Linked DNA regions of Lepisosteus oculatus. The protein of the gene in region 2 purifies or fractionates together with the protein of the main gene of each other region. This does not show direct contact. Links are inferred from orthologs where the notes say so. Each region holds a gene or a part of one and is shown on either strand. Other genes may lie near its edges. The genes, in order: polr1e, polr2eb, polr3f and csnk2a2b.

The links.
Region 1: the proteins of polr2eb (region 2) and polr1e purify together in Homo sapiens (affinity purification with mass spectrometry; 4 studies listed by BioGRID and IntAct, counting the BioPlex papers as one, with this or other methods). This does not show direct contact. The link is inferred for Lepisosteus oculatus from reciprocal best matches to the Homo sapiens genes POLR2E and POLR1E.
Region 3: the proteins of polr2eb (region 2) and polr3f purify together in Homo sapiens (affinity purification with mass spectrometry; 4 studies listed by BioGRID and IntAct, counting the BioPlex papers as one, with this or other methods). This does not show direct contact. The link is inferred for Lepisosteus oculatus from reciprocal best matches to the Homo sapiens genes POLR2E and POLR3F.
Region 4: the proteins of polr2eb (region 2) and csnk2a2b purify together in Homo sapiens (affinity purification with mass spectrometry; 3 studies listed by BioGRID and IntAct, counting the BioPlex papers as one, with this or other methods). This does not show direct contact. The link is inferred for Lepisosteus oculatus from reciprocal best matches to the Homo sapiens genes POLR2E and CSNK2A2.

Annotation. Positions count from the first base shown.
Region 1 is NC_090696.1:67,217,005-67,224,974, forward strand, and holds the start of polr1e (DNA-directed RNA polymerase I subunit RPA49), read left to right. Parts: upstream 1-4,910; 5' UTR 4,911-5,969; coding exon 5,970-6,045; intron 6,046-6,505; coding exon 6,506-6,609; intron 6,610-7,060; coding exon 7,061-7,137; intron 7,138-7,401; coding exon 7,402-7,487; intron 7,488-7,755; coding exon 7,756-7,814; intron 7,815-7,970. UniProt on the Homo sapiens protein: Component of RNA polymerase I (Pol I), a DNA-dependent RNA polymerase which synthesizes ribosomal RNA precursors using the four ribonucleoside triphosphates as substrates.
Region 2 is NC_090724.1:6,669,231-6,677,214, reverse strand, and holds the start of polr2eb (DNA-directed RNA polymerases I, II, and III subunit RPABC1), read left to right. Parts: upstream 1-4,908; 5' UTR 4,909-5,029; coding exon 5,030-5,086; intron 5,087-5,299; coding exon 5,300-5,474; intron 5,475-5,957; coding exon 5,958-6,073; intron 6,074-6,564; coding exon 6,565-6,645; intron 6,646-7,404; coding exon 7,405-7,463; intron 7,464-7,984. UniProt on the Homo sapiens protein: DNA-dependent RNA polymerase catalyzes the transcription of DNA into RNA using the four ribonucleoside triphosphates as substrates.
Region 3 is NC_090712.1:580,210-588,563, reverse strand, and holds the start of polr3f (DNA-directed RNA polymerase III subunit RPC6), read right to left. Parts: upstream 3,212-8,354; 5' UTR 3,080-3,211; coding exon 3,024-3,079; intron 2,401-3,023; coding exon 2,283-2,400; intron 1,807-2,282; coding exon 1,739-1,806; intron 1,093-1,738; coding exon 1,025-1,092; intron 17-1,024; coding exon 1-16. Other genes in the region: dzank1 (double zinc ribbon and ankyrin repeat-containing protein 1), read left to right, coding at 5,793-5,901, 6,401-6,554, 7,228-7,420, 7,628-7,712, 8,265-8,354. UniProt on the Homo sapiens protein: DNA-dependent RNA polymerase catalyzes the transcription of DNA into RNA using the four ribonucleoside triphosphates as substrates.
Region 4 is NC_090715.1:11,436,991-11,444,567, reverse strand, and holds the start of csnk2a2b (casein kinase II subunit alpha'), read left to right. Parts: upstream 1-4,230; 5' UTR 4,231-4,247; intron 4,248-4,725; 5' UTR 4,726-6,082; exon of another isoform or gene 6,083-6,161; 5' UTR 6,162-6,193; coding exon 6,194-6,297; intron 6,298-7,577. Other genes in the region: cfap263 (cilia- and flagella-associated protein 263), read right to left, coding at 114-269, 1,313-1,489, 2,274-2,406, 3,201-3,295.

The DNA.
Region 1 (7,970 bases), on a different chromosome or scaffold from region 2:
AGCCGACTCACTGCAAAGACATTTCAGAATTAAAAATTGGAAATGACCTGGGCCGAACTCTGAGGAACAGCTGTCTTCTGCCGTGATTCAGTGCAGAACACAGTGCATCCTTGTTTACGAAATGTACTGAAAAAAGGATCATGTCATGCCAAGAGGGGGTTTATCACTACTATATACTCTTGAGAGGCATTAAGTTGGGGTAAAGGTTATTGGTTCCAATGCCTCGACCTACTGTATACAACCTACAGAAGATTCATAGAATACACAGGAAGTTAAACTTTATATAGATGCGACTGCTTGCAGGTAGACAAACAGAAGCCATTAACAACAGCCAAGAAATTGAAGATAACTTCCTGTAAGCGATTGTAGAGAATTTCCTTATTTAATACGTATGAGTATTTATTTGTTTTTATTTAAACAAGCTTTTCTTATGGTCTCTCTAGAGACGCAGTGGTTACAGTGAGTTATGCTCACTTTGTCAATCCTGTGCATTTCCTCAGAGCAAACAGTGACAACAAACCATACGATACAAGGGGAAACTATGAGCAAATACATTTAAAACTTAGAACAGGAGGCACTTCTTCACCCAGACACCAGGGAGAAATGTGGAACAAGCTACCAAACAGCCTTCTTTCTGAATCCAATACCCTGTCAGAAACAGCGGGGTGAGATCCTTGCATCTCCCATCAGGCTAAGTGAGCCTCCTGCCTACAAGTGGAAAATATTCAAGACCGTGATAACTCTATTCAAGACTGGGTGTCTTTCTAAGATCTTCCCAACAGAAACTCGAAAAACCCATCCAGGAAGTCACAAAAACTAAAACCCAAGAATCTCTGCGGCTGATGTCAGCGTTCATACCTCAATCATCAGAAAAAAACCTGAACTGGAGCTGGTTTCGTGGGAGCATAGCCAGGAAGGAATCGTTGCTCTCTAACGTCACCCATGAAAGGTTTGATCACCTGGACAATCCACAGGACTGCAGGAAGATACTCTGGACACTTATGTCAAAAGTACAACTTTCTGGCGAGACTGAAAAACAATCAGAAGCCGTCTTCCAACAGAAGAACCTCACCCCAACATGTCAAGCATGGTTTGGGGTTGCTTTGCTGCCTCGAGACCAGATGACCTGCCATCATTGACAAACAATGAAATCTGTGTTGTATCGGCATATTTTGGAGGAGATTGTGAGGCTGCCCATTCATCAGCTGCAGCTGTGCTGAAATCAGCTCATGCAACAGGACACCAATTCTGAACATACAAGCAGATCCATAACACCAACAGCAGAAGAAGAAGAAAAATAACCAAGTCAAAATCCTGGCCTAAACCCTACAGAAATGATATAGAAGGACCTGATGTAAACTGTTCATGCTCAGCTGTTCATGGAGGCTCCAAGCAGTTCTGTAAGGAAGAATGGGCCACATTTCTCACAGCTGATACGAGTGACAGATAAACAGTTACAGTACACATCCAGTGTAAGTTATTGCAAGTGAAGGAGGTGCCACCAGTTCCAAAGGTCATTTACTGTTAGAACATTTTGTAAATCACATAATCCAACTATATATTAATTAGACTATGTTCATCTTTCATTAAGACTTTTATGAAGAGTTAATTATGTTTTAGGTCTAATATATACAAGAATAGGGACAGACCTAGAGTTAGGCAGTGCATTGAAACAAAGCTTCTGGATTAATTGCAATTTGATTTATCCAGAACTAACTTTCCTTGATGCATAGCTAGTTCTGAGTTCAAACTGCCCTTTCCTATTCTATACAGTCCAGACAGTGCTACTGGTATCCACCAATACTGTAGCAGAGCTCTGAGGATGGAAATGAAGACTTCCTCTGCACAGCCAATTGAAAGATGAGAGCTTCATGAGCCGCACACTCTTGTACAAATTAATCTGACCAGAGAGAAAAAGCATTTGAAATATTTCAATATCTGCAGCATTTGTCTATGCAAAGTGACTGAAATTGAAATACACCTGGAGATATCTTGCCAAAGAAAGCTCACTCTTGTAGGTTTCCAAATTCATCTTTACAGCTTTCATCTTGCATTTTTGGTTTTACAAGAAAGAAAAAGTATGAAATATGTCGGATTTAACAGTAACACGCAAAGGTCTCATCACTAGTCCTGCACTCTGCAGATTTCTTAGTTCATTGCCTGTAAAAGGTTCCAGCTGCTTCAAGGATTTAGCTTTCTTGAGCAAACAACAATTTACAGTAATTCAGGTATTGTAATTAAGCCACAAACAAAAGAAAACACTGCTACTCTGCCCAGTGACAGGGAAAACAACAGCACTGCTGTATGGCTTATTTGCTTTGTATTTAAAACTGTTGTACAATTGTTGCACACTTGTATTATGCTCCACCTTTTATTAAATGGATAAATCTCCCTCATCAAAAAACACAAAGTACAACTAAAAGTACAAAAAAAAATACACTCAATTCTAAAAAAAAAACAGTAATTTCCGTTTGACACGAATGTGGTAGGGCTGCTTATCTTTCAACTACTGTAGACAGTAAACTCTTTCAGAGCGCCACGCTCACTGACAGACAGACTCCAGTGCCTCCGAATCCTCAGGACCAGGACAAACCACATCCCCTCAGCCAACAGGCATGAATCACTTAAAGGCCCAACACTCCGTGATCCACCATCTCTCGTCCCTCCCACCTCCCCTCGGAGAGGAGCAAACCAGAACAGGAAGTGGACCTGACTGGGCCTCTGGACACTTCCTAGCCAGTTTATATACTGATTAAGCAATAACGCAGTATACCCTCTTCCTGGGCTCCAGAATAGATACTGTCTCTCAAGGAAAGGCAGATCCTGAGGGCACCTTGGATATCAGGGAAAGTGTTTCACCACAAAAAACTGGATTGATGCTTCTCATGTTTCAGTGCTGTTCTGTATGGCTCCGAACATTTCTAATATTTTTCTTTATTTAGACAGATAAGAACAAACCCTCTCTACAACAATGACTGGACTACACAATCTCTACTGGTGAAATACCCTGCTTCGTGGGTATATAGGCGGTAAGAAGTAAGAATAAGCAGGAGCTCTTCTGCATGCTAGTTTCTCTACATTCCAACCCGCGCAAAGAAAACAGCTACTATACTCAAGAGCATGAATACAAAAAAAAACACAAAAGAAAGGATCTCCATTTGACATCATGTTTATCTTTCACATCTTAATTCGCCCATTTATGTAAACGACGGGATAAGAATTCACAGTGAATTTACTTCAAAAAGCTACACATCCACCAAATTACATTACAGTCACCCCCCCGGTCCAAGACAAGATGCACACATACGTCGAAAGTATGTTTTTGGCTCCACGTATAAAACACTTTTTGAAAACGACTCCCCCCCCCCAATGAGGGGCAAACGCAATCAAGTCCAAGTCTCTGAAACATCGCGTTGCTTTGTGACAACAAGAGCAACACCTTCATAGTCTGCCCCCTTCTCTCAAATGGAGTCAAAAGCATGCGAATGTGGTGTCAGGCCAGGAGCCCCGGGTTTCTGGGCGAGCAAGAGGCGCCCCAGAGCCCGGCGTAACCTCCGGGCTGCGTGTTGTCAATCAGTTCAGCCGAGAGAGGTTCATTCAAGGTAACGTCTGCCAAACGCAGCCTCGCCCCCCGAACTGTATATCGCTGTGAGATATCACCATGCACTCTGTAACGATATCGCACTACACTGAGGATGCATTACCAAAAAAATGTTAAATTCAGCAAAATCAGACTGGCGATCTCGAAGACTTGGCACAATTATTTTAAATAAAAAAAAGCACACATCGCCGTCGGCTGAGGATATGCAGCTACTTCTATTCGGTTATTCTTTTCCTATCGGACTTGTGGATCCATCACTTCGTGCAAGCGGGCATAGTTTGCAGATCGTATTAGATTAAATTGGTCCTGAAACGGCGAAATAATATGATTTGTTCCGATCAAATTCGTTCGGCTCGTAGATAAAGGTTAAACCCACAGAGGTATTTACTTCCAGATAAACAGAATACAGTAGCTGCCATTAATTGTCGGTATCTCCCTCATGCAGACGATATTATTCAGTTTTGTGTTTGTATTTATCCCTCCCCCCAGGAAAAAGGCTTTCGGCTCTGCATCCAGGAGCCTCGTCTGGCTCGTCTGTCTCCCTCTCTCTCTCTCCGTCTCACACAGGTCTGCTTTACATTATTTTCTGATCTGTGTCACTGGCCAAAAACAACAGCAGGAGGGGGAAAAAAAAGACCACACACACGTTACCTTTTACCCGAGATCAGAACAAAGCACACCCCTGGGAACATATCACATGAAGCCCAACTGAGAGGCCGGATAACAGAGGCGTTTTTTTTTTTCCCGTCCTGTGCGTCTTCAGATGTATTGAACACGGAGAGAAATCCTGTCCACGAAGGGGGTCTTCTCCTCCCTTTTCTTCGCTGTCTTGCAGGACCAGTCTGTCTGATGTCTGTGTTGTTAATCCAGCGCCTGCGTGCTGCCGTGCACTGGGGAGGCTTGCCCAGGATAAAACTGGGAATAGACTGGGAATCGCAAAGCCTACCTTGTGTGATTCAGGACGACGATATCCCCTCTAGCATGTACCCGGACTCGATGCCTCCGCTGTCCAAAAACGACATTTACAGCAACAACAACAAAAGTAGTTTCCCCGGAACAGGGGGGTTAACAGTCCGAGAAAGCGAGTGAGAGAGAGAGAGAGGGAAAAAAAAAGTTCCCCTCCTTTTCCTGCAAATCTGCAAAAACCGGAACGGGAAAGCAATATCCCAGACGAGTGACGTTTTCTGACTGCTGCACCGCAGCGCCGGGGGCCCGTTATTTCACTCCGGGGCGGCAGATTCTCACTGGCCGGAGAAACAAGCCGCGAAAACCCGGAGAGAGAGAGAGAAAAAAAAACCTACAGAGCACCTCGCTTGTTGTAGCTACAGCCCAAACGATTGAGAGCCGGGCTGCAACTCAGTAGGATAGGGGTTTATTTTTGTGGTGTTTCGTGTGTGTGTGTGTGTTTTTTGGTACGTTCCTGTCATGAATAAAAAAGACGCTGGACACCAGCAGCGTTTCGACTAAATTAGGAAACTGCTTAATATTCATGACCGGTTACTAAACTTTTTTAAAAATAAATATCCTCCACTTGATCAACGTCGTACGGTTCACACGTTTGTTGTTTTGGCTCTGTATTTGATCCGCTAAAGCCGGGACAACCGCCGTTTCTTCCTGAGGCTCAAAACTGTCACTACAGCACGACAGGGGAACCTAAATAAAAAAGTCAGAGGGATTGGAGTATTGATAAAAATGGAAAACGAGCAGCGATTTCCTGAATAAAACGAATCCTGTGATATACGATCCTACAAATCCCCAAGAAGATGCTCAACGAGGGTTTCAAATGTCAATGAAGTTTACGTTTCTGACTCCTCTGACCACCTTACTGTACCTCGTAATGTTTTGGCGTTTAGAAACTTCTGGACCGATTGATGGTGGACTGGGGTTTGTGAAGTCTGGCATGTTATTTTGTATCTGATGACTTTAGTGCTGTTGATATGATTTTTAAAAACCTGGTGCGAGTGTCAGAGAGACTAAGAAAATAACTCATTTGTTGTTATGCTGTTTTTTTTTGTTAATAGTAGCTGTGTATTGTACCCGTTGGGGAAAAAAAATACAGCTCCTTACTGGAACCCTATATGGAACTACATACGTTTATTATTTATTTGTGCTTTGAAACAACCGAACAAAAGCAGATGTTCTCTCTTCCCGGTATTGTACAAATCCCAACACATCCAACCGTATGGACCTGAAACGTGAATGAAAGGCCTTCCAAACGATGGCAAACAAAACGCCCGACTCAAGCCAGTTTGTCGCCGAGTGGGCGGTGTAGAGCCGGAGTTCGCCGCTAGGGGGCGCTGTCGGTTATAAGCGCCGCTGACGCCCGCCGGCTCAGAAGTCGCTTTCGGGTTCAGGGCCGAGCACAGAAATGGCAGCCTCCTATGTTTGGAAACACTGCAACGAGGAACGGGAGGAACGGGAGGAACGGCCGCCTGCCGCAATAGGTATACCGCGAATTGCTTCAAAAACGGAGACAGTCCGCCTCTTCCAGTTTATACCGGCTGTAAAAAAAAAATCGTATTCGTAAATATATTTTCTCTGCTGCAATGTTGGTCGTACACGTGGTAGTAAAACGACTGTGAGTGAAGTCAGTGCACGTTTTACACTTAAGCTGATTTTGGATAAACGTAATTTATGATTAAACCTTCTCAATAAGTTTAATTTAATTTTAAAATTCAAGGAGTTCCAGCTCTGGTTGTCTAGGTGTATAATCCTGAAGGTCTTTGGTTTCTAGATCGATACTAAAGAAAACGATAGATTATAGTGTAGACGATTATAGTGTAAACCTGGAGTCTTTCTGACCGTTGTGGTGATTGTCTTAGTCTGAGAGACCGAAATAATGCCTTGCTGAGTTTTTTTACATTCTTAGTTAATCATAGCTGGTTCCCACGTCTTCTTCTGCAGTTCAGTTTTCCAATGGCAAACTCAGAAACGCCGACCTGGTCGACTTCACGTTATACAGAAACACTGATCTCAGCAATCCAAGAAAGAAGAACAGGCGCATTCTGGTACGTTTAAATGTAGTTGCAGATTTAAGTATCGGCCCACTTTAATCTAACAACTGCATTTTTATTGTCATTGTTGTCCGCTAATATGTAAGTAGTTGAATTGCTTAATTAAACCCTTTAAACCCTGTTGTGCTGTTCAGTATGTGCATGTTCTTGAGTACATTTTCGAGTAAAAAAGCAAAACTCCATAGTTTCCACAAATAAACTGCTTCCACCCGGTATAAATATATACAAACTGAAATCGGAAATGATTTGATAGCAAAATGGTTTGCAGGGGCCATTCTCTATAACCAATTTTGGAATTTTGTTAACGGCTAAAAAAATGTAAATTCCCTTGTCACTGTGATCCGGTCTTGTATTAAGCAGTTATTGAAAAATGACGAATAGATGAAGGTTAATATTAGATTGGTATCCCGATGACTCAGGTTCTGTCTCCTGTGTTTTGTCACAGGCTGCAGAAACAGACAGGCTCTGCTACGTTGGGAATAATTATGGAGCTGAAGCCTTGAAATGTAACACACTTTGCAAGTAAGTCTTTGCAGGTGGAAGATGTTTCCCTAAAGCTTGCTGATGAAATTTCAGAAAATGTCCCGGATCTGAAAAGTAATTTCTACGGATGTATACATATGTGCTTCTTGACCAGTGAAGAACTGCACTCTGAGAGAATGCAATCATGAAGTCAACAAAAGTTGAGAGAAGCTTTTTCTCTACACAGTTCTGTTGGGGTCATGTGACCAAACACTGTACCTGTGTCCTTTCGCTACACTAACGCATGATGTATTCATTCCCCAGGTACTATGTGGGTGTTCTGGACAAAAAAACCAGGACAATGAATGTGCACAATGTGGAGCTGTTCAGTATGCAGCCAGTAATTCCAGGTATGCTGATGTCTCCAAATCAGTTGGGTAGTGCACCTAGTTTGCTAAAACGCTTATTTTCCCATATGACATACTGCAAATCTTTAATGTTGTGTCTAAACCTCTAACGTTTAAAATCCATGTAGTTATCGATGGCAGCGGGGACAGATTTTGCTGCCTTAACAGCCTTTTTCTTAGACATTGGAGTTGTCTATTCTGTATTTGGAAAACTAATGCGTATCCTTCTGATTTATCAAAAATACTTACATGCTTGCATGCATATTTGTAGGTGAAACTGTAACTGAAGTTGACGCCTTGGAGCACAAGAATAAGTCCTACAGAGAAAAGGTACTGTAGTGTTTAAAGTGATCTGATCTCTTGATACTCGACTGCTTCTAATGCTTTGTGAATGGGGGAAGCAAGGTTGTATTTAGTTTCTTCTCAAGATATTCACTGCCATGTTTCCATTTTATTGTCCCGGCTATAGATTCAGCTGGGCTACTT
Region 2 (7,984 bases):
GGGAATGCGACACTTTCATCCCAGTCTCTGGTCCGCAGAGCTGCAGTGTCTTACCACACTCTGAAGGAGCACGCAGAGCAGTGCCACCCGTCTCAGGCAAGGCATGACAGTCCTGGATTTACAGCTACTAACGCAGCAGTAAATTCGATTAGTCCAAGGAGCCACAGCTGACTCAAAGAAATCCCCAGCTCAACCCGTTTTATTCTGGACCCTGCCCATCCATACAGCTCCGCATTAGTCACCACTTCAAACCGGATTCGCCCAGCTGATAGAGCTGATCAATGTCCTGCACTGTGTGTGGACTAAACCCATGTAACTGCAGAGGATCCAAGCAGTTCAGCGAGCAAAACATAAGAAAAGATACTGTTATCTTCCTGTGCCCATGACAGCCTCAAGATAAACACATTACAAGTCATAAAGCTTGCTGGAACCGAGGACAAAGGTTACAATACATATTTAGGAAGATGTCCCAACACTAAATAACACTGGACAGCGCTGACTTGACAAGACCACACCCACAAACGCACACTGGAGAGCAAGACGTCTCCACGTCTCACATTCGCGTTCTGAGAAAATGGGGGGAAAAAAATCCAATCATGTGAGCACTGAGGAAGCAGACAGGCTCTTGGGGATATTTCGGAATTGGACTAAAGAGTCAAAATGCTTCCTCGCTTCTTCCTGAAAGCCTGTTTCAGCCACAGCTGGCCTCCTGCAGTTGGGCCGGCTTCTCTCGAGAAGTCTACCTATCCAGAACCTGCCTGTGAAATACTCTCGTGCTCACAGTCATGTCCTGTTACCTTAGAACATCCCGTCTCCCTTCTGAGCAGCACAGATGCCCATTCCAAGCCGATCCATCATTATCGATATTGAAACTCCATTGTGTAAGAGATGCTGTGGCACATTCAGCTGTACCACATGGCGTGGCAGAATAAGAAAAGGAAGGGCAGCACAGTGGCGCAGGTGTCAGCAGTGCTGTGTCACACTGCTGGGGCCCTGGGTTCAATTCCTGGGAGTTTGCCGTCTGCGTGGAGTTTGCACGTTCTCCGTGTGTTGAAGTGGGTTCCCTCTGGGGGCTCCGATCTCTCGCCACATTTCACACGGAGTGGGAGGTCAACTGACTGGGCCCTGGTGTGAGTGTGTGCGTGTCGGGGTGTGTCCTGCGATGGGCTGGCGTCCTGTCTAGGGGGGTACCTGGACCTCCTGAATTGGATGAAGTGGTTAGAAAAAGTGGTGGATGAATAAGAAAGGTTACAAAAAAAGAGAAGGGCATTCAGCAGATCCAGTTCATCTGGTAATCAGCAGGTAATCGATCCGAGGATCTCTCCCAACTGTTTCCTGAAATTAGCAGGGCATCAGCTTCAACAACATGGCCGGGTAGCATGTCCAACACTCCTACAACCCTTTCTCCCATTTTTAGTTTTCAATGCTCTTCCATCATGATGCATTTCCTTGGCTTGTAGCCGCACTGGTGTCATAACGAAGAGCAAATGTTTAGCATTCTGCATCCTGGGTAGTTTTGGGGAAGGATATGGATTGCTCCTTGTTATAAAAAGTATTTTCATAGGATCTCATGCTAGACGTACTGGGGCAAAGGTGTAGTTAAGACTCTGGATTCCTGACAAGAGGATTGCAGGTTCAAATCCAACATAAAGGCACAGCTGGCATAGACTTGAGAGAGTCTCAACCTGAATTCCTCTAGTTCATTTTTAATATTAAATCTAAACCAGCTGCAATGCAGTTTATTTGCACATCCTTTTGTTTTTTTTAAAAAAAGTCATCTCGGTTGTTTGCAAGCGCCACAAACACTAAGCTTTAAAACTGCAGAGAATAAAAATGTTTTTTCAGTCTGTCCCTGAAACTTGAGGTTTCTTCCACTCTGTGACACTTCTCAGTTGCCCAAGACCCACACACACACAGTTCTGCAATTACACCAAGCCTACTGCTGCTATTAATACTGAAGGAAAGTTAAGCAAACATGCAATAAGCTTGCAACACAGCTGAAGACTGAAAAATTCCAAGATCGGAGGCTGCCTGCGTGTAACTGAGAAAATTACATCTTCGTGACCCGAGAAAACCAGAGCCTCGCAAACCCCTTTTAAACGTTTCTGGGGTAACGGACGCTTAAACCACTGTCAGATTTCACCGAGTCGTCCACACAAACACACGCTTGAACAAGGGGAACTCGCACCAGCAGGACACGAAAACCAGTTTAGTATCAACCGCAGGGCTAAAACGGTTTCTACCGCCTAACCAAGACACGAGTTCTTACACACTTCATAAGCGTGCCCAGAAAGACAAGGAAGCCAATTATCTTTAAACACATATGTGTGTGTGTGTAACTGGCAACTGCAGGGCAACCTCTGATGTCCGTCTTTAAACGAAAATTTAATTTAATAGGCGTTTCAAAACAGCTTGGCCTTCTTTTGAGACATTTATTCAGTTACTAGAGGGGGTGGGGGTGGGAGTAATAGAACCGTAAATGTAGAGGGGGTTAATTGATGGCAGACTCCAAACACTGACTTTTGCCCCACGCACACGCACGCTCTCGGCCTGCAGAGAACAGCCGTGGTCAAGCGCGCGACTGAGCTGACGTCAGGGCGAGGGCGCGCGCGCGCTGGCGGAATAAATAAATCAGTTTTCTGAGAGCTATTGACTCTATGCAAATGAAGCGCTTCTCACAATGCTCTCCTGTTCCACTCGTTTGTCAGGGCTAGGAGCAAAGCCCACAGCTCTGATCATGCCATTTGTTTTGCAGCAGTTGGATTAGAATCGAAGAGTCTCTGGGCAGCAAAGCTATTCTGCCTCTCGAGAGCCTGATATTTGAGGCAGGTCTTCATTTGTGCGATTGGTAAGGGCTTGTAAATGAACCAAAGGGCGCACTGAGAAGCAGTAGAAGGAGAAATCACGGGTCACTGTATGCACGCAAGATAGAATGAGTTACAGATCGAATAATCTGTAACTCATTCTGTTACTTGATAGTTAAATCGCCCAAAACCGCCTTTCTAATGTAATATAATCGTACTTGTCGCGTTTATTGTCGTTAAATGACGTTTTTAAATCATGGATTGAGACAGAAAGATCATCACAGTCCTAATTAAACTTGATTCATTGCTACAATGACGTATGTTAATAATACAGGTGCGATTTTAAGCAATAAAAAGATTTTTAAGGACAAGGCTCTTCCCGCATTGTTGTTAAGTTTTTTTGTTTGTTTTTGCTGCCTTGCGGTTTCTAAATCGCACGCAGCATTCATGGTGCATCACCATCCTGCGGATTACACACAACCTACCCAAACAGACTCCCAAGATCTTTACAATCATGAGGCGAGCGACAGAGGTTTCGGCAGAAAACACCAATGAAGGCCCGCTCCACCGTCTGCCTGAAAAGCAGCACAGCAGTAAAGCCCAGTTCTCACAATACTGTCGCCACCTGCTCTCGACACCGCAGTTTCCGTCATGTGCAGAATGACGGGGAACCAATAATAAAGGATATTTAGTGCACTGACGTGATTCATGTCTTATAGTATTAGGCGTGTGTATTGCCAGAATTATAATAATTAATTAATAATTGTTTACACTTATATAACGCTTTTCAGGACACTCCTCCAAGGCGCTTTATAGGTAATGGGGACACCCCCTCCACCACCGCCGCCAATGTGCAGCATCCACCTGGAAGAATTAGGCTAGTGCGCACCAATATCATTACTTAATAGTTTAACAGTCACGAGTATTGCAAACCCTACAGTGACAGAAAATGACCGTACGAAGCTTCACTGATCTTCTTCAAAAAAGTACTGCTTACTGACTCAGCGTATCTAAAAATATCGACTTCGAAAGCAACGAAGTGTAGGACCAAGCAAAGAGACAGATAATCACACAGGCAATCAGATTACAAACAGAACGCGAATGCCTTACCATAGCTCGTACAATCGCTCTGCTCGCCACCAGTCCGAAACACAGAGACCGTGTAACTATCTGCATCGCCCCACGGAGACTTAACTCTCCCGGCCAGGGCCCGCCCCGGAAAGAAGACGTTGGGGTCTTGGGCTATTTCCGGTTCAAGCAACTGCCTCACTGGGGTGGCCATTTTGGACCTAGTTCCTCTCCAAAGGGACGCGCAGAAACTAGCGCTGTCCCCGAGCCAAAATGGCAGCAGTTCAAAGCGCTTTCCAGGTAATGGGGACTCCCCTCCACCACCACCAATATGCAGCCCCACCTGGATGATGCGACGGCAGCCATAGTGCGCCAGAACACTCACCACACATCAGCTATCAGTGGGGAGAAGAGCAGAGTAATGAAGCCAATTCATAGAGGGGGATTATTAGGAGGCCATGATTGGTAAAGGCCGATGGGAAATTTGGCCAGTACGCCGGGGTTACACCCCTACTCTTTTGGAGAAACACCCTGGGATTTTTAATGACCACAGAGAGTCAGGACCTCGATTTTACGTCTCATCCGAAGGACGGCGCCTGTTTACAGTATAATAATAATAATAATAATAATAATAATTGCTTACACTTATATAGCGCTTTTCTGGACACTCCACTCAAAGCGCTTTAAAGGTAATAGGGTCTCCCCTCCACCACCACCGTCACTATACTGGGGCATTAGGACCCACATGAGCCGCAGGGTGAGCGCCCCCTGCTGGCCCCACTAACACCCTAACACCATGTTGAACGATTATTTTAGGTCTTTATTGGACCTTAAAAAAATGGAGAACTCAGTAGTACGTGGAAATAATAGCTAATAGCACCTTTTGGCTCAAATGGGCTTCTAAAATAGGTCATAAGCGATTTACTGATCTAATTGTCAAAAACGTAGTGCTATTATTTAAGAATAATACGATTTAAATATATTCTCAGATAAGTACGAAAGCTGATGGTGAAAATTACAGGCAAATGCTTGGATGCCAGCAAGGGGTCCATTGTGGCGACGGAGCGACGGAAGTCAGCTTGTTTGCGCGAAAGGAGGAAGCGTGTTGGAGGAGAGCGATTGAAGTTTTTTTCTGTTTCTTCTGAAAACAACGTACAATGGATGATGAGGAGGAGACATACAGATTATGGAAAATCAGGAAAACTATCATGCAGGTAAGAATGGAGCGAGTCATTTATTCTTTCCGTAAAAAAAAAAGAAGATAATTTGGGTATGCGCCGGTGTTCGCGTGTAGCTCTTCCGTGGGACACGTCTAGCCCCTTTCACGATCTCGGAATTGTACCATAAAAAAAAAGTTTTTTCAAAGATTAAAAAAAAAAGGTATTTCTCAGCCCGTGGTGACGGCTGCTGTGTGGATCGCCTTCTAGCTGTGTCATGACCGGGGTTACCTGGTGACCCAGGACGAGCTGGATCAGACCCTGGAGGAGTTCAAGAGCCAGTTCGGGGACAAGCCCAGCGAAGGCCGCCCCCGCCGGACGGACCTCACCGTGCTGGTGGCTCACAACGATGACCCCACTGACCAGATGTTCGTCTTTTTCCCAGGTGGGAGTTCGGAGTGCTTCACACCCACATGTACACATAGTCGCGCCACGTACGTCTAAACCAACGTTTGCCAAGCAGATCATCAGGCAACAGTCAAATATTCTGACATGCAAGTGTTGGCGACATAGCCAACGTTTAGAAACTTCGTGTTCGATCTTAATCACTCTGGGAGCCGTCAGGGTCCATGCCTTGCTGACTTCTCGTTCAGCCCTCTGTGTGCCTGGGAGATGGAACAAACTGTGCAGCACATCCTAGGGGATCCACACTCAGTGGAGAACTCCTCAGCACAGCTGCACCAGAAGCTATCGCTGGCCCCAGGGACTTTGCATGTGTTCAGTAAACTGTCCACAGGACTTTAACTGTAATTGAACCCTCAGAATCTCTGGCATGTATAAGGGGGGGTCTCAGATCTCGTCCAGTGTTAACTTCAGAAGAGCCTCTTTTTACTTGGAGAATGACCAGGCACATGTGCTCTTTCCACAGAGGAGCCCAAAGTTGGCATCAAGACTATTAAGATGTACTGTCAGCGCATGCAGGAGGAGAACATCACACGAGCAATCATCGTGGTGCAAATGGGCATGACACCCTCTGCCAAACAGGTACAACCCCCCCCTTAAAAACCCCCCAGTATCGCTCAAACCTCGCAGTTAGCCATGTTCACTTTCACCTGATCCTCCGTTAAACCAACATAACATGTTTAACCTGCTGCAACATTCGCACTGTGAGGTGAGGACATAAGATCCTTTCAAGTCCACATGCAGTTATATATTTAGATCGATAGAGGTTGATATTTTTTAGCAGAATAAGGGATGGAAGTTAATTTAAATTAGCAAGACTTCTCATTCAGTGAACACGCAGAGTTAAGCGGGAGATGAAAACAGCGAACATGAATAAAGTGCAGTAACGTTGTAGAAACTGTAAGCCCAAGGTGACACAAGCTTTGTTTCCAATGAAGGATGACATCGGTGATCTGAGACTTGTACCCATCGTGTGAGTAAAAGAAGCACACAGTGCCCACTAGAGGGGGCAGGGGGGAAGGTTTTGACGGTGGTGTGGTGTTTCAGCTGCATTGTTTCCTGTCCTTCTCCAGTCGCTGGTAGACATGGCCCCCAAGTACATCCTGGAGCAGTTTCTCCAGCAGGAGCTGCTCATCAACATCACAGAACACGAGGTGAGGAGAGCTTCAGCGCAGGCATGGCGAGCTGGCCCCAGAGCTGCGGCTGCCCCCACTGCCAACAGCACTGTGGAACTCTGGAACAAGCTACCCAGCCTTATTGTTGAAGCTGTCGCCATGGTTTCTTTCACAAAACAGCTGGACGAGATCCGTCAGTCATTTAGCTACTAAAAACTGTACAGATTAGACCTTGCAGAATGGCCTCCTCTTATTTGTAACTGGAAGAGACTTTGATCTCTATTATTTTTAAGTTAATAACTGCAGATATCACATTTGTCTCTTGACGGGGATAAATGTAGTTATGAACTGGCCGATGCTTTTAGCCAAAGCTGCTTTTGTGCCAATTTGTACAGGAGGGTGTTTTACAAGAGCGGTCTGAGTGAAGTATCTTGTGCAAGTCGTATCTTGCACAACTGCAATGCCCCACGTCCTGTGACCCCTAATGTGTTCTTCTAAATATTTCTTTTCGTTTCTGCTGTTTATTATATGTATGCCGTTGTACAGCACTCTGGGTTGCTTGAAAAGAACTCCTGAGTAAAATTGCATGAGGTTCAATAAGAGACGTGTATTATTTACAGTTGTGTACCTTTTGGATTATCAAGTGCAGGGAAAAAAAATCATACGTGTTTATATAACGGAACAAAGGAAGTGTAAGAAAACGGGGTTCGGAGCTGTTTGATTTTGCTAGTGCTGTGTTTTCTTGTTCTGCTGTGCTGTCAGGACTATGAGCTGGTTTCCCTTCTGCTTGTCTTGCAGCTGGTTCCAGAGCACATAGTGATGACTAAAGAAGAGGTGACGGAGCTGCTGGCTCGATAGTATCCTTCTCGCGCGGTTTGACCCACATGTCTTTTTCACACTCGGCTCACCGTGTGCTGTTCCGAGAAAAGCAGAGAACGTTGTCTTCTGGATGTTCTGGGAGTTGTGCCTGACAATATCGCAAAACATACAAATCGCCACAGAAGTCTGTCTCTTAGACTCTGCTAATTAGCACTGCTTTGCCTCAATACTTAACCCCTGTTCTCTGTACACTGTACTGGTGTCCTGTGACCTTTAGAGTGGACGTCCAGGTCATCCTGCTCAGGTATAAGGCGACACTGAACACTCCTACTGTGTGTTCTGCTGCCTCGGACCTTTGCTCTTAATACTAGGCTCTACACGATGGGCAGCAGAGCCTCTCGTGCAGCAGCTCTATGTGAAGCTCACTGCGCAGGTCCATTAGAGACTCTGCAAGGCCAGTGTTCTATGCAACTTGCTCTCATGGAGCGCAAGCTGGGGTCCGCGAAAAGACAAATTCCTAATACAAGAAATGGTATATGGCCCCAATAAAGTGATCCTA
Region 3 (8,354 bases), on a different chromosome or scaffold from region 2:
TCCCTGCTCCAGATTCCTGCCAAAGTCAAGGGAACGATAAATGTGTTTATAATACAAATTTATTTTACAAAGACCACTGTAATCAAAATTCCTTTCCACTAGAAATATCTTTGAGTTAAAGATCTATCTTTAATGAAGACACTGGGCATGTTGGTAAATAATAAAACAGTTTTAGTTATTAGTTCTTTTCAAAGAGCCCAACACTGCACGTATAGTACTAAGGACATCAGCCATGCTGAGCTACTGGTTTGGATTTTCTGTTTGTGATGAATTAGTGCCTCCTGGTGGTGCCCCAGAGTTACTTCTGTCAGAAACCTGAATATCCTAGTGTGCCCCATCCCAGTACTACCTGACCTGCTCCAGCCCTGCTTAGCTTCAGAGACCTGAGGAGGTGAAGCTTCTAAGTGGCAATGAATATAGACAAGCTGTGTAACAGTTTTAATACGTGTAATCTTACTAAAGGTATGTTCTCTGTGATTCTCTTTAACCAAAGATTATTAATAATGCAATGCAAAAAACACACTGAAAATATATGACAAACTCAGGTCCATGGAGGTCTGCAAATATGAACCAATGAAACTGAAGCATTGTACTCGTTCACTTTCAAAGAACAGCAGTAGTGCAGCCCACCGATTCACTCAGAACTGTGAAGCAATGCTACCCCACTCGCGGCCTCAGTGCTCCAGTTTCATTTGTGCTCTAGATAACTAAGTCAGACTATGACGTTCAATGATAATGATGGGACATATTAAGGATTTTGACAGGTAGGCAGTGGCTTTCAGCTGAACAAACTCCTGATGTCAATCTGAAGAAGTGATTGGAAAACAAACGGCTCAAGGCAAACAACTGCTCCATATGAAGAGGTTATTACAGTTGCTTAACCTCCTGTTCTCTCATGTCTTCATCTCCTACACAGATAATTAATGTAACGTCTACAGTTACAGCAGTGCAGCAGTGTTGCCGTTAATGTGGTGAAGCACATGTGCAAATGAGCAGATTTTGATTTCCACAGCAGAAAGCTCACCTTTGTTTCCGGCATCCTCTATGACCTGATACACCAGCTTCTCCTGGTTGTCTGAGCCCTTCATCTTACTGGTGAAAAGAGGAAATTTCACTTTAAATCACTAGCATGTGATTTAAATCACTAGCACACAGGAGTACATGAATGATGATGAACTGATATTCAATTTAATCATATAACCAAATGCAAAATGTTACGATATAGGTGTCCATCAGTGTAAGTACAGACAGACAGTGCATTTTCTTTAAACTCACTGAGAAGACATTATACAATGCTGACCACCTTACATTACAAAGAGAATCACAAATTCAGCTTGCACGCATAAGACCTATTTCCTTGACTGAAGGTCACTACAGCTCTAGGCAGACTCTAAGGTGGCAGAAAATCTGTGGTTCACTTAGTTTGTCGAGCCTCTTGAACACTGCTACATAATCATGAGAAACATTTTTACCCTACTGGACAACTCTCATTTTTGAGTTATGTTACAGTGATTACACTAAATACCACACAGTTGAAGAAATATCTAACTGCTTAGAAATAATTTCTGTGTGCACAAAGAAGTCCTTCTATGGCAGAGCAGTACAGCGCCAAAATGTCACCCTCTCAGACTGGAATACAACTTCAGCTTTCTACAGAAAAACTGCTCATCTCCAATTTTAGTTCAATCAAAGCAGGGTCTATCACGTCCAATGGTGTTGAGGTAAAAGGTATGAGCACCTGGCCACCTGTGCGTCTTTCAGCCTGTACAGAAGACCATTGCTGTTTCTCAGGAGGTCCAGCTGACCCTGAAAGATACAAGAGACAAATCTTACATATTTATCATCCAATAAACAGATATCAAGCAGCTTCTCAGCATGGAATAAACTCCTTAGATTTGTTTCCCTGTGTGTCAATTATTAATTTCCTGCATTGAATGTACAATTTTAGGTCCTCTGTCTTTCTATTGTCTGAGAACAGCAGTATTAGGTGAAAAGAAAGAAGGAGAAGGCTCAGTTTACGATCCCCACATAATAACTGAATAGTTATCACAATGTTCCAATAACAGGAGATTATAAAAAGATGTTTAAAGGCATCTTAATAATCTGCCAAATACCAACCATTGTACATTAAAATAAATGAGTAACTAATGAATGAAATGGAAAATAGTTTGGAAACAAACCATTCCTCTTCCTCTAAACCAGCGTGGTCTCCCCAGTCCTTGACAGGAGCGCAGCGCTAGCTAGTGTGCTGACAGCAATGAAAGAGGGTTTGTGGGATGTACCATGGAGAGCAGCCTGTTGATGGCCATGGCCCGCTGCTGTGGCTCCACATGCGGCATGTCGTTCTGGATCACCTGGTCTGTAATTCCGTGCGGGAACTGCTGGCACAGCTCCTTTATTCTGGAAGTCGGGAATGACTGAGGGTCAGTTATCCAGGTTCTCATGCTGTCATTTCTCAGTTGTCCTCTACGTGTTTAATGTACAACACGCCGTATTTAAAGCTCCTTGAAGGACTGCATACAAAGTTTTGGTTTGGACAAATTATCCAACACTTAGACAAGCAGAACCCAGCAAGACATTACAACAACTCGGTACACGTCATATAAAAGGAGACCTAAAATAATCTACTGTTGAAACGCATAGCCTTCCCTGCTCTCAGAAACTATTGGACGAGTTCCTAAGATCGATCAAATCCATTGTCCTAACGATCTACACAGAGCCCATGACCTCTCGTTCGTGAACTGTCTTATTGTAACTTGTATCTTCAAAACTGCACGAGTTACAAAGGTCGCTGCATTTAAGAATATCGCGACACTTTCAGCTCCAGCGAACTTCAATTTTTAAAATAATCTAATTCTAAGGTGAAATGGCGCTAGGCAAAACCACGTGACTTGAACACTTTATTAATCAACGTAACAGCCTAAATATTTTTTTTTTTGTCGGAGACGGTGTGTAACGTTTCTTGAGCGTTTTTGTCTTGTTAACTTCGTGTTGACATACGGTTAAAAGAAGACAAACCTAACCTGTTTTCAATGTCCACGGGATCCGCAGATTCTTGTTTTACCTTAACTTCTGCCATGTTCAACTGACAGAAGAACACAACTGAACTATCCAGTAATCCCTAATTCACGATGAACTCCGGAACACCACCTCTATGTCAACACAGCTTCTCTAGGTGGTAACCATGCTGCATTTCCGAAAAGGTTGGGGTCCTTCTACCTCGTGTCGCAGTTTTAGTAGTCTCTCTGAGTGCCTGACCAAAACGTGAAGTTAAAAAGCCTATACCGCGTAGGAAATCTTTCAAATATTTTTTTATTTTATGTTGAAGTGCACGAGAAATTAAGACTATTTAAACACCCAGACATAATTTAATTGTAATACAATTGTATATACGTGATGTACTTTACGTTTGTAAAACAGATACATGAGATGCATTTTTAGAATATATGTTTTTAAATTGATCTTTAGGTTTAATCGGCTTAATTAGTGATTTAAAGATGATATTTGTGTTATTAGTCTCAAGAATAGGTTTCAATAGCCAGCAGCCAGATCACCCTGCAACTCACAACTGGAAACCCACTGAAGCTCAGCAGGTGTGAGCCTGGTCAGTACCTCCTGGAAGAGGTGTTAGTGGTGCCAACAGGGGGCGCTCACCCTGTGGTCTATGTGGGTCCTAATGCCCCAGTATAGTGACAGGGACACTATACTGTAAACAGGTGCCGTCCTTCGGATGAGACGTAAAACCGAGGTCCTGACTCTCTGTAGTCATTAAAAATCCCAGGGCGTTTCTAGAAAAGAGTAGGGGTGTAACCCTGGCGTCCTGGCCAAATTTCCAATTGGCCTTTACCAATCATGGCCTCCTAATAATCCCCATCTATGAATTGGTTTCATTACTCTGCTCTCCTCCCCACTGATAGCTGGTGTGTGGGGAGCGTTCTGGCGCACTATGGCTGCAGTCGCATCATCCAGGTGGGGGAGGGAACTCCCCATTACCTGTAAACAGCTTTGAGTGGAGTGTCCAGAAAAGCGCTATATAAGTGTAAGCAATTATTATTATAGGTTTCCACTCCATGTGAATGCAGCTTTTACATTAGGTGTCCGAGCTTTGCTGTTTTAGCAGCCATTGGTCCGCTGGTTGCTAGGGGCCAAGCTGTCCTCCAATGGGATTCTGAGCTGCGCTGTTGTGTTGGTTACCGTAGCGTAGCTGGTTGCACGCAATTCTGGTGCGGAGCGCGACTGCACAGTCCGGTCATTGATTGATTGTATATGTGCAGATATTAAATTAAATAGGTACAATTTATTTTTTCTTGGGATTTTAAAATATACATCATCGCAGTTCGTGCGGGGGACGAATGGAAAGATCGTGAAATCACCTTAAATCCATATCCAGGATTTGTTTCGCCTTCAGCTGGTAATTGGAATAAGAATGCACACTTGTCGTGTTTTTTGTACGCTTAAAATTGATCGGAAACTGATTCAGAGGTAGCCCGACAGTTTTCCAATTACAGTTCTTTTTAAATAGCCTTAAGATCAGAAAAAGAGGTCTTTAATTGCGTGTCCCGTTGTGTGACGTTGAGTGAAGTCCTGACTGCTTGTTCATTTGTTCATGACAGATTCCAGCGCTGTGTGTAAGAGCAGGGCTGTAACCCTCAGGTTCGGGCTAAGTTCCGCTCTGGGTCTTCACAGTCTCACAACCCTCACGCTCTCATTAATTCGGTAGCTGAACTCAGTGAGGGGCGTGATGGGTCTCTTCCTGTGTTGAACGATCCTTTTGGACCCTTTGTGTAGCAAGATGTTGTTTTCTGTACTGATACTGGTTCCAGTGGATTATTATTATTGTTGTTCTTATTGTTATTACACAGAGCGATCTAGACCTGAGTAACTTGTGAGTAGTTTTCAATCATACATGGTAAATATCTGCCTCCTTCATGCTGCCTTGAGTGTGCCGGTCATATAAATGAATTGCATTAAATCATAGGTTTGGAACGTTTTGGTTCAAATGGTTTATTTAAAAAGAAAGGACAAAACAGCCAATCGCTTTGATCAGCAGGTAGAATATCCTACAGCTGCTGTATCTGCCCTCAGGAGCCCCACACTGCATGTGCATGTAAAGGACTGCTCAATGCGTGGTCCGAGAGTGTTGTGTAATGCAGCCCAGGGTTAGATCCTGGCTCAAGACACCAGGCCGGAGGGGTGCAGGCTGGGCTGGCGCTCCAGGTTGTGACTCCAGGCTGTGACCCCCACCCTGTGGGGGCTGCAGGATGGAGGTCAACATTCCGGCTTCACTGTCCGGATGAGCTTTTCCTCTCTCCGGCTGTCCTCTGGGATGCAGACACAGCTTCCTGCTGCGCTGGCTGCAGGGCGTGTTCTGTCTAGTTCTGATCCTGGGCAGGATACCCAGGCACAGCTAGTGGAGAGGTTCGGGTTCGGGGTTTGGAGGGGGTGTCTGGGTTTCTGTGGAGAGAGTTGTGTTTTTCTGGAGCAGGACAAGAGCAGTTCATGCCTGGGATCTGGTTCAGCACCTCTACTGGCCTGGGAAAAGGGGTACTAGCCTTGCTCTCACCAGAAGCAGTTTTCCGAAAATGAGAGAATGGATCCTTCTGCATGGAAAATAGACGAAAAACCAGACCTGCCCTGTAGTCATGAGTGATCACAAATGAGACGCTGTATTATAGACATATACTGTTCTGCGTCACTGTCTGCTGAGTGCATGAAAACTATGCATCTATATTTGACTGGACTTCTACTTTTCCAGGCTCAGTTCGACAGAGCTGTCGTTTTCTTGAGTGAACATGACGGCAGGCTCGATCGTGGCACCTCAGATCATTCCCATCAGAATTCCCCTGCCTGGCAAGGCCAAGCACCAGATAGACACCAACACACCCGTGGAGATCAAGTCAGGTAAGAGCCAGGAGCACCAGGTCCAAAGTCTTCATCGTGGAACCATCGACGTCCTGCCGGGGAGCTGCTGTGTTTTCTGGGATTTTGCTTGTCTTGCTGAACATCCTCCAGCATGTTATTCAAGTCACTGGAAATGCCAGAGGCTGCAGTGATGTCCTGATAATGTTGTGCAATTTTTTTCTCAGGTAGATAATAATGCTGTACCTTGTAGAAACTGACCTTTATATAAGGATATCCTCCACATGTCAGTCGGTCACTCTCCCACTAAAACAAACCAATCAGTTTCAAAACGAATTGATCCAATTCAATGGAACTTCCTCAGCTGGAGTTGCAGGCCGTGTGCAGAGGCAGTGCTGGCCAGCAGACCTGTAACTCTCTGCAGGGAAGGGATGGCAAATGGGATTCAGGGTTTTCTCTACGCGACGAGGGGAATATGAGGGACTAGGCTGGTGTGTCAAATTTGAGTGGCTGACGAGGTTACAGCACGTCTCCTTCACAGACACCCCAGACGTCAGTATTTTCTTCACCCTGGACGGCAGTAAACCGGAGGTGCTGAAGAAGCCGGGGTTTGGAGAGAGCAGCACACTGCGATACCGGGGGCCCGTAGCCTTACCTGAGGGGAAGGTAACGGTGAAAGCACTCGCTGTTAGCAGGTGGGTCGCAAAGGAAGGTCCAGGGTGCTTCTGGCCCCCTCCCACCGAACCAGGAAGTTTGGTTTAGAAATCCTGATTCAGAGAGAAAAGAGGAAATAGCGCCACCTACTGGTTGACACCTCCAGTAACAGCTTGATCCTGATACCTCCCATCCTAGCACTGACCTGGCCTTGCCCTGCTTATATCCCGGGAGATAATGATGTTAGAAAACAAAGGAGGATCAGCTGTTAACTAGCAGCCTGAAAGTGGTTGATTGCAACAAGCAAGGACTGGGCATTAGTCAAAGAAGTTAGCAAAGGTGCAGGAGGCTCAATGTGGACACCCTGATTTGAAGTTTCCAGCTTCTGTAGAGTGCAGTTAGAATGTACCTGTGTCACTGAGGTGTCCAGAGCCTTCAGACACTCTTACACTCTCTCTGCAGCAGCTGTTTGCAATTTAAATACCAGCCTTCTGAAGGCTAACATGTAAAACTTTGCTTTGCTGCTTTCAGATTTTTAGTTAAGTGCTGAATTTGACAAAGTTTTGTGTTTCCAAGTAGAATATTTTTGTTATGTCTTGTGTGTGCAGTTTGTTTCAGGGGCATCTGATCACCGTGGTGTCACCAAGAAGCTGAGCTTCCTCAGCCCTGCACGTACAGCGGTGCTGATGACGGCGTGTTCTCGTTGTGTTTCAGGGATGGCAGGGAGAGTGCAGTCGTCACCAAGTTCTTCCTGGTAGAGTATCTTCCTCCTCCTGATGACCCAGCCTTACTTGAAGATGATAAAGACAACTTTCTTGAAGAGTACACCCAGGACACGGCCCGCGACACTGCCTGGGACACGACCCGAGACACTGCCCGCGACACAGCCCGGGACACTGCCCGCAAGGCAAGCGAAGTCTCACCCGTCACAACTCGCTCCAGCGAGGCTCTTAGACACAGACCTGCTGATGCTGCTGATGCTCGAGTGTGCTCAGAGTGAAGTTCTCTGGTCCTGGCAGGGTGAATCAGTGAGACCAGGGCTCAGGTCTTTGTTGCTGCTGCAGTGCACAGCCGTGCTGGTCTCACCACACTCTCAATGCCTTTCCACCTGCAGGAATCCCTGGAAGGAAGCGCTTTCTTTCCGGGCGGGAGAAGAGCAGCAGGCAGCGCCTGGGAGGAGACGGCACAGAAGCTCCAAGGTGTGTTTGAGGTTTCAGGCAGAGTGGACGAAAAGCTGCTGTGCCTCCCGGAGAGACTGCTTCAAGATGCTTAAGAACCTGGTCACAATCACTCTTGAAGGAGGCCATGTCCACTAATCCTTGTTCCTCTCTGGACAGATCAATCGGCAGACAGATACACAGGTGGACAGATCAGTGGGCAGACAGATACACAGGTGGACAGATCAGCGGGTGGACAGACACACACACACACTACAGGACTTGTCACAGTGATCTGTATCACAAATCCACTGATCTAAACAGCAATTTTAAAGCCTGTGTTTGCAACAGACATGCTAATTAAGAAGATTGTTGTGGGGTTGGCATGCATTTTTACATAGCCAGAAAGCCATTCATCTGTAGTCGTTTCCAGATTTACATTGAATGTGTGAGCGTTACAGTGCAGCACTAAGACTCAGACTCGGCATATTGTCAGTCTTGTAGCACCCAGGCTGTGATGACACATGTTGTGATGGATTTCCAGTGAACTCTTTGATCTGCTCTTCAGCTGACTCATCCTTCAATGTCTCTCAGCTGTAAAGATCCAGGGCCGCCTCTCCCACAAGCCTCCCAAGGGACCTCACTACCTGACCACTCGCCTGGGTCCCCTCTGGCCAGGCTCAG
Region 4 (7,577 bases), on a different chromosome or scaffold from region 2:
TTTCTCTTTTAAGCTGCAGATCAAGGTCCTACTTAATGGCCAGGCTGTTGCATTGGCTGGGACCCCAGTCTTTGTACCCTGCCTGTTCTCACACACGTCCTGTGCCTGCTCACCTTTGCCCTGGTTCTGTCCTCGATATACCGCACTACCTTCTCTGCCCCCATCATGACACCTCTCTTCTCCTGCAGGACCCGGGCGACATCACGCTCAAATTCATACGTGGCCTTCTTTATTTCCACCAGCCGGATATCAGCCTCTTCTGTAGTGGCCTGGGAGGTCAACACAGTAACAAGAAAAAATGGCAAAAGCCACAAGCAAAGGCATGCAGCTCCACCCCCAGCAAGAGATAAGCATGTTGGAGCTCAACCATGAAAAACTACCATTCAGAGTACCAGCCCAGAGATCCCTGACTTCGACATTCTTAGAGATTTGTGAGAGGAGTCCTGTACACTACTATGCCATAAAATGTCTGTGGTTAACTCAGCATCTCATCTAGCAGATTCTCAAAGCACTGCAGATATCATAACCTAGAGCTGGACATGGCAGCTGTTTCTGTGTGTAAACCGGAAGCACTGATGTAGCACAGCACAACACACAGTGAGAACCAGCCAGGGTCTGTGCAGCCTAGGGGACAGCTGGCACACAGGCGAGTTATTAATGAGAACTGCAGTCCCAGTTTCTCACACTGGTTATTAAATCTCGGTAACAAAATAAAGTCATTGACATTATAGGGGAAAAATGTCGAAATTCTGAATTAAGCACAAATTTGTGAACTTAGTGAAAGTACTGGATGTTGTCATAAACTCACACTCGAGTTCCCACAAATTGTGACATGATGCTGCCCTTCCTGCTCACTATTCACTGTAATGGCTAATGTAATGGGATGTACCAGTGAATACGTACAGGTTGTGCAGCAGACATTTTACCGCAGAAATGGAAATCTGATGTTCCATAAAATGTCTACAATGTGCAGAGTTTAACAATTAAGTTGAATTTTCAGCAAACTGTCTCGAAATCGAGAGCAGTATTTCTATTGGCTTTAGAGATGTATTCACAAGCCGGCTTCTTTACAATGTAATGGGGCCGCTTCACCTCACCAGAGTTTGGTCGCCTCCTTCTAAATCGCAGATCATGGTGCTGCGCAAACGTAGACATGGGATCTATTTTGTGCAGAAAATTGGAGGTTTACACGCTACTGTGTACATTGCACTCTAATTGTGGTTTGAAATGCGCTCATCCATGCAGATTCTAACAGCGGACTCTGAAAATAGCGTTACATCTCCCTCCCGCTTTAACTGCGCCCAGCTCCTACCCTGTAGTTGTTGAGAACTCGCTCCGAGGCCTCTTTCAGTCTGCCCAGGTCCTCTCTCGTCTCCTCCAGCTCCCGCTGGGCCACGTCGCACTTCTGCTCCACCGTCAGCCGCTGCAGCCGCTCGGCCGTGAACGAGCGGCTCTTGGACTTGCTCCGGCCCCGGGCCTGGCCCTGGCCCTGCGGACGAGACCGAGCCGCGTCAGGGCCAGCCGTGGGAAGCGCTGGCTATGACGACGGCGGGCCTCTTCTCGTTCCACGAAACGCGGCGGGTTCACGCGTGTCAGGACAGACAGATGTACCGTTTCATTACTGTCCCGAAGCTTGGGGGCAACGTTCGCAGAGTCCCTCGTGTGTGTTGTGAAAGACATCACATTGATGCCGACAGCTTGTTTTCACTGACTCAAAATGTGCCAGGAACTGAATAAGAAACCTGAATTCTCCAGCGCTTGCTAGGGGTTTGCGTGCCCTGCGCTCTCTCAGTAGTGCTCTTTTTGATGGCTTCTGGTTACGTTGTTCTTTATCGTCTTAATTCCATATATGTTGTCAATTCTACTAAAAACTGCCTCCAAAAATACCCCCCAAAATTTAAAAAGTGTGTGTGAATGTACCACAAGTACATGATGGTGTCCTTGTACCTCAAGGATAAGGGAAAGAGAAAGTTAACGTTTTTCAGACAGCTTTGCAGGTGTGATAATCACTATGTGCAGCAAGCAGCCCTTCCCTGCAGCAACACAATCCACGGGAAATGCTTAAGGTGAGAATGGAAAACTAAAGTCATTAAAAAATAAAGAAGAAAACCGAACAAGACGTCTAGAGTACGAGATCTGGGCTCTGACATCCCTAAAATGACACATCTCGGCTCACTGACAGGTGCTGCTGTAAGATCGGAGACAGACCCAAGTAACCCCCCCCACTGCGGCAGAGACAGCCGGGGCGCCCCACACGGGCATGTCCACCATACCTGGGTGACCTCCGCCTGGGACACGCCCAGGGTGGGCTCCGCCGCGGCCGCCGGAGCCAGGTCTTTGGGGTCCAGGCGGCTGATGTACCTCTGGAACATCTCCGTCTCGGCCTTGAGGACACCATTGGAGCGGCTGGCGACACAAGAGGCAGGACAGGGGCTGCTCACGCGTGCGTTCTCCGGTGTTAGGAAGTGACTCTCAAGCTCAGCGACCTCACGCTACTGGTTTCCTACCCGTAGCGCACTTTTACGTCCTTCTGCCCACGTAGGCGTCATAAAGTATCTATCTATTGCAAGACGTGCTGCGTATTGCGGTCACACATGTGTCGGACGGGATTTAGGTCAGAATTACCGGATACGACACCGGTGCGGTTATAAGGCCCTCAACCGTTTAAACACCTGTTTTTGCCGTTTGGCGCAGCTCACTTTCATTTGCCTAGTGTTAGTCTACACAGTACCCGAGCTGTGCGCATTTTCCTGGTTACACGAGCAATCGGAAGCTGAGGTGCAGTCTAGAGATTAGTCGAGCACCTCTCCTGCCTTGTCGTTCGTACCTTGCCTTCTCTCTTGCATGCAAAGTTGAATTAGAATGCTCAGCTAGTATACAGTTCAAAAGAAAACACGACATCTCAAAGAAGTGATTTTTAAAAAATAAGTGTGCATGGAATTATGTGCTCCTAACCAGAATAGTAGGATAGACAGACCAACCGCAGGAGCTGCAGGTATTTTGTTTTTGTATTGTGGTATTTCAATGTGAGAGCTTTTAACGCTTGAAAACAAAAGTACCCTCTGAGCCGTCAATCTTGCTCTGGACTAGCTTCAGAAGCTGTTGATCAAGCTATCCCGTGTACATCAGGGTGTACGCCTTATCCGAACTTCCCCTCGTCCACATTTTCCACACCGATTGGTTCTCTCTATTTACAGTACCTGAGTTCTTCTACGAGCAACACCAATTCGTGCGCCCCGAGCTCGGAAAACTCCGGATTGTCGTCTGCCTGGGACTCGCACTCTGCCTCCGCCATGGTTGCCAGGATAAACAAGCGAGGCTGAAGTTGGCAACCAGCGTAGACGTCACACACGGCGCGTGACGTCAGGCGATGACGCCACCGCGGTTTGCAAGACAATTTAGTGTCAATATTGCCGGTCTTTTCAAGTGTTTCCTTATTTCACGATTCATTGTATCTTGTACTCCGGCCCTCCATGACCAGGAGTTAATGTCACTGAATCATACATTACTGCCCCACTGTGTGGGTAGAGAAGATTGCAACTTGAAACAAATAATAGGGACATTAAAAAAATAATGTGTCGCTATACATCAATAAAATCGGTCGATACACGTCACTTATAAATAATGCCACACCTTTGCAATAGCAAGCAGGTTTCCAGGTAACAAACAACAACGTCTTATTCATTTTGAACTCAAATCAGTGTAATATATTACCCTCCATCTTGCCAATATGTAGCATCCAGTGTTAAACTTCCGTTTACGATGCGGGGGCCCTTGCCGCATTAGGTCGGCCCCCCACCGTCGGGGGCTCGAACCCGGGACTTCCGCGTTACTCAACAGGGACCCAGCCCGGTGAGCTAAAGAAAAATCCCTCTATACTGTTATACAATGACTCTTGATGCCGTCCATCTGCGCGTTTCTAACGTCTTTACTCCAGAGCCTCGAGCTGATATGTCAGGAATGGCGCTGCGTGTATATATATATATTTCATTTCCAGGGCTCCTAAATAGGCCCTTAACCCCAACTGCTCCAGGGGCGCCGTACAATGGCAGACCCTGCGCTCTGACCCCAAGCTTCTCCCTGTCTGTGTGTCTGTGTCTCCTTGGAGAAAAGCTGGGGTATGCGAAAAGACGAATTCCTAATGCAAGAACTTGTATAGGGCTAATAAAGAAACATTATTAACATTATTATTATTATTATTAATTGCAGCACCTGCAGACCGGATTCCTCCCTTCCAGTAGGCGGCGGTAAGGTTGGCCACTGACAGCCCGGTAGCGCTGCTCTTGTCAGAGAGAGGATTATACTATTGCGTGCAAGGTTGCGCATGCTAAAAGGGACACAGCGAAGTTCAGTTCTGCTTCTAACGTTGACTAAGAGATATTAAAAATGCAGCAAATGGACATTGGAAGCCATAGTATTTGTGGCGGTTTAATGACTTTCAGTACATTAAAAAAATATATTTTAAAAAAATAAATCAGTACAGCCACGAGAAAACGGGATATTTACAATATTTAACAATATGTTAAAACCCTGCTGGTCAGGGTTATAAAAATGCCCCTTAAAACGAAATTAATGTATAATTTTAAGCCATACAGCCTTATTAAATGAAGAGGTGAATATTATTAGGTAAGAATAGAATAAGGCTAAATGTATATTATTAATTGTACCTAGCCACTTTAACAACGGCGTAACACTATATTATTTAATATTATTTTATTTTTGCAGGTATGACCGTGTTGGTGATAACTGAATCCTGTTCCAAAACCGTGAAAGGCGGCAGTAAGAGCCAGTTTCTCGGGCGGTTTAAAAAGCTCGTCTCGTAACGCCCCAGGATTAAAGAGGAGCAATGCGATCAGCTGGAACAAATCGACGTGCTTCATGAGCTAGACGCGTCCTCTGACCTCGTATGAGTGCTTCCGAATTGGGTTTAGATTTAAAAAAAAAACGAGAGAACCGGTAAATTCTGAACCAGACGACATGCACACGCCTGTCTTTACTGAACACACTGCCAGCCTCTTTCAATGCAGTGACCGATAAGGGGGGCTTGACGGCCAGTTTAACTTTATTGCTGTCGGAGCCTGATTCTCAATTCGAGCATTTGCAGGAAACACTTTTCCAAGGCTCACACCGAAGCAGTACAGACCCCCCCCCCTTCTTCTTCTTCTTCTTCTTCTTCTTCAAGCCCTGCCGGAAGTCGGCAGCTCTTCACCGCCACAAGGTCGGGCCCGGCGCTGTCTAGTCGTAATCCGCTCGTCTATGGTCGCATCCATCTTCGCGAAGCTGCGATCGTTTCCGGGTGGATCTGCCGCAATCCGGTTGCCTGTGGTACTGGCCGGGGGAGGGGGGTTCCCATAGAGATCCCCGAATCCGACCTCCGGAGCGATTTCCCCGCTCTCCTCCAGCGGCTTGGACGGCGCTCGCAGGCTTTCGGGGTCCCGCCGGCCGGGGCGCAGAGGGAAAGCGGCCATCGATCCGCTCGATCACCACCGGGCAGCGAGAGCGCCGATCATCTCCTCCCCCCCCCCAACCCGCAAACACACACCTTCCCATACCACCCCTCAACTCACACACACACACACGCCGGCTTTGCGTTGAATACATCCTGTAGACCCGTAGTACTGGATTGTAAGACCGTTTTTCGTCAACATCCACGGCACCGGCGCCATCCCCATCCCCCCCCCTCCACCCGAGGATCCGTTCCGCCTCTCGCAGGGCCTGGACCCCGGGGGAGTCTCAGCGGGCTTCCCTGTCTCCGGATCAAGGGTTTCGCGGCCCACAGCGGGATGGGGGGGTTCGCCTGCAGTCAGTAGTTTCACGGCACCCCCGTCCCCCCTCTCCCCACTTTTCAAAACCTGAAACTCCAGACTGCGCGGGTTTCGCCACCGCCTCCGGAGGTGCTCGCCTCCCGCTCCGTCTCCTCACCGGGCTGATTACCCTGGCGATCCCTCTCCTCCTCCCTCTCCCCGCCGCCGCCGCCGTTCGCGTCCTGCAGCCTGGGTCCCCGCTCTGCCTGGCTCTCCGGGCTACGATCCCTGCCTGCCGTGAGCTCTCCGGACACTGCGCCCAGACCTCCCCGGAGAAGGTACCCGGCGGGAGCCGCCCGCCCTGCTCAGACGGCCCCCTCTCGGCTCCGATAACCGCCCGCTGTCCCTCGTTCGCAGCGGCTCCCCAGACCCCCTCGCCCCGGCTAGCCATGCCTGGCCCCGCGGCGGGCAGCAAGTCTCGGGTGTACGCCGACGTGAACACTCTGAAGAGCCGGGAGTACTGGGACTACGAGGCACATGTGCCCAGCTGGAGGTGAGGAAGGAAACTCGCAGGGGGAGAAAAAAAAACAAAAACACGGGGGGCGCCGAGACCCCGGGACCCCGAGACCCCGGGCGTTTTGGACGCGGTAGATAGCGCGCAGCAGCCGGCTTAGAAAGTTTCCATTTCAGCCTTTTTGCCAAGGCCTTCCAGTGCGGCTTCCTGAACCGCCGAGCATTTAAAATTGGACTCCGTGAATGCTTAATTCGTCGTCATACCTAAACTCTTGAATTGTTTCTTGGGGGGGGACTGTAATACCGGCGCTGTAGAGGCAGCTAGACAAATAGAGCACAACGCACAGTCGGAATAATTTGGCACCTGATTTGTGCTGCCTAATCGATGGCAGAGGAATTCTCATCTCCATCAGGCCGTGAAGTTTCTTTGCTTACCCGCAGTCCCCGGAAGACCAATTTTATTTATACCTCAGGAGCTGTGTGTGGGTTTGTTTCTGTCCGGTTTTATGGCTGTGAAATAATCGCCGCTCTTGAGCTTCCAAAAGTCACCGAAGACCACAGCTGAGCACAGAGCACAGGCGGTGTGGTCTTTTTGGAAGATTCTTTTTAAAAGTAGGTGGTTGTTGTTTTTTAAAAACGCGTTTAAACAAGGCATTGTTGATTAGCTTCTAATTTCTTTGTATACGTGGGGGGTATTCAATGTAAAAAAAACCCACTTAAATGAATGAAATTTGTGATTTTCACTGGGAGATACTGGAATTAAGGAAGCACATTGTCCTTGTGTTGAATGGAGGACATTGCAAAGCACCAATGACTGTACCGGGAGCTCACAGCAGGTGTCTGGCTTTAGGCTGCCTGGGCCTGTTGTGTACTTCTTTGAGGTACAGTAGGGTGGCCTGAGGCAGGCCTGCATTGTTCACCTTTTTAGGGTTTTCCTTCCCTTTTTTCCCAGTCACTGACATCTGCTTTCTACGTTGATCGTTCCAGTGCAGTGATGAAGATTGTAAATAAAAGAGAGCCAGACGGAGACAAGCAGTCCCCGAAGTACCAAGTACCCACATACGTGTAGAGCGCTACTTTTGTGCCTGTAGTGTAGTCTCTCTGCACCAGCTGTTCTGTGTATTAGGCCCAGAACAGTGTGCCTGCTCTATCCATGTGGTTCGGGTCTGGTTCTTGTGTTACGTGATCACAAAGAGTGCTCATTTTAACATGGCAGTGGGCTTGCGAGATTTTGACCAGTCCACAAAGTTTTTGTGCAAAGGCACACAGAAAAAAAACAAAGCGCTGATCAGATGTCAGTGTGCTCCTTTCCATTTTGCT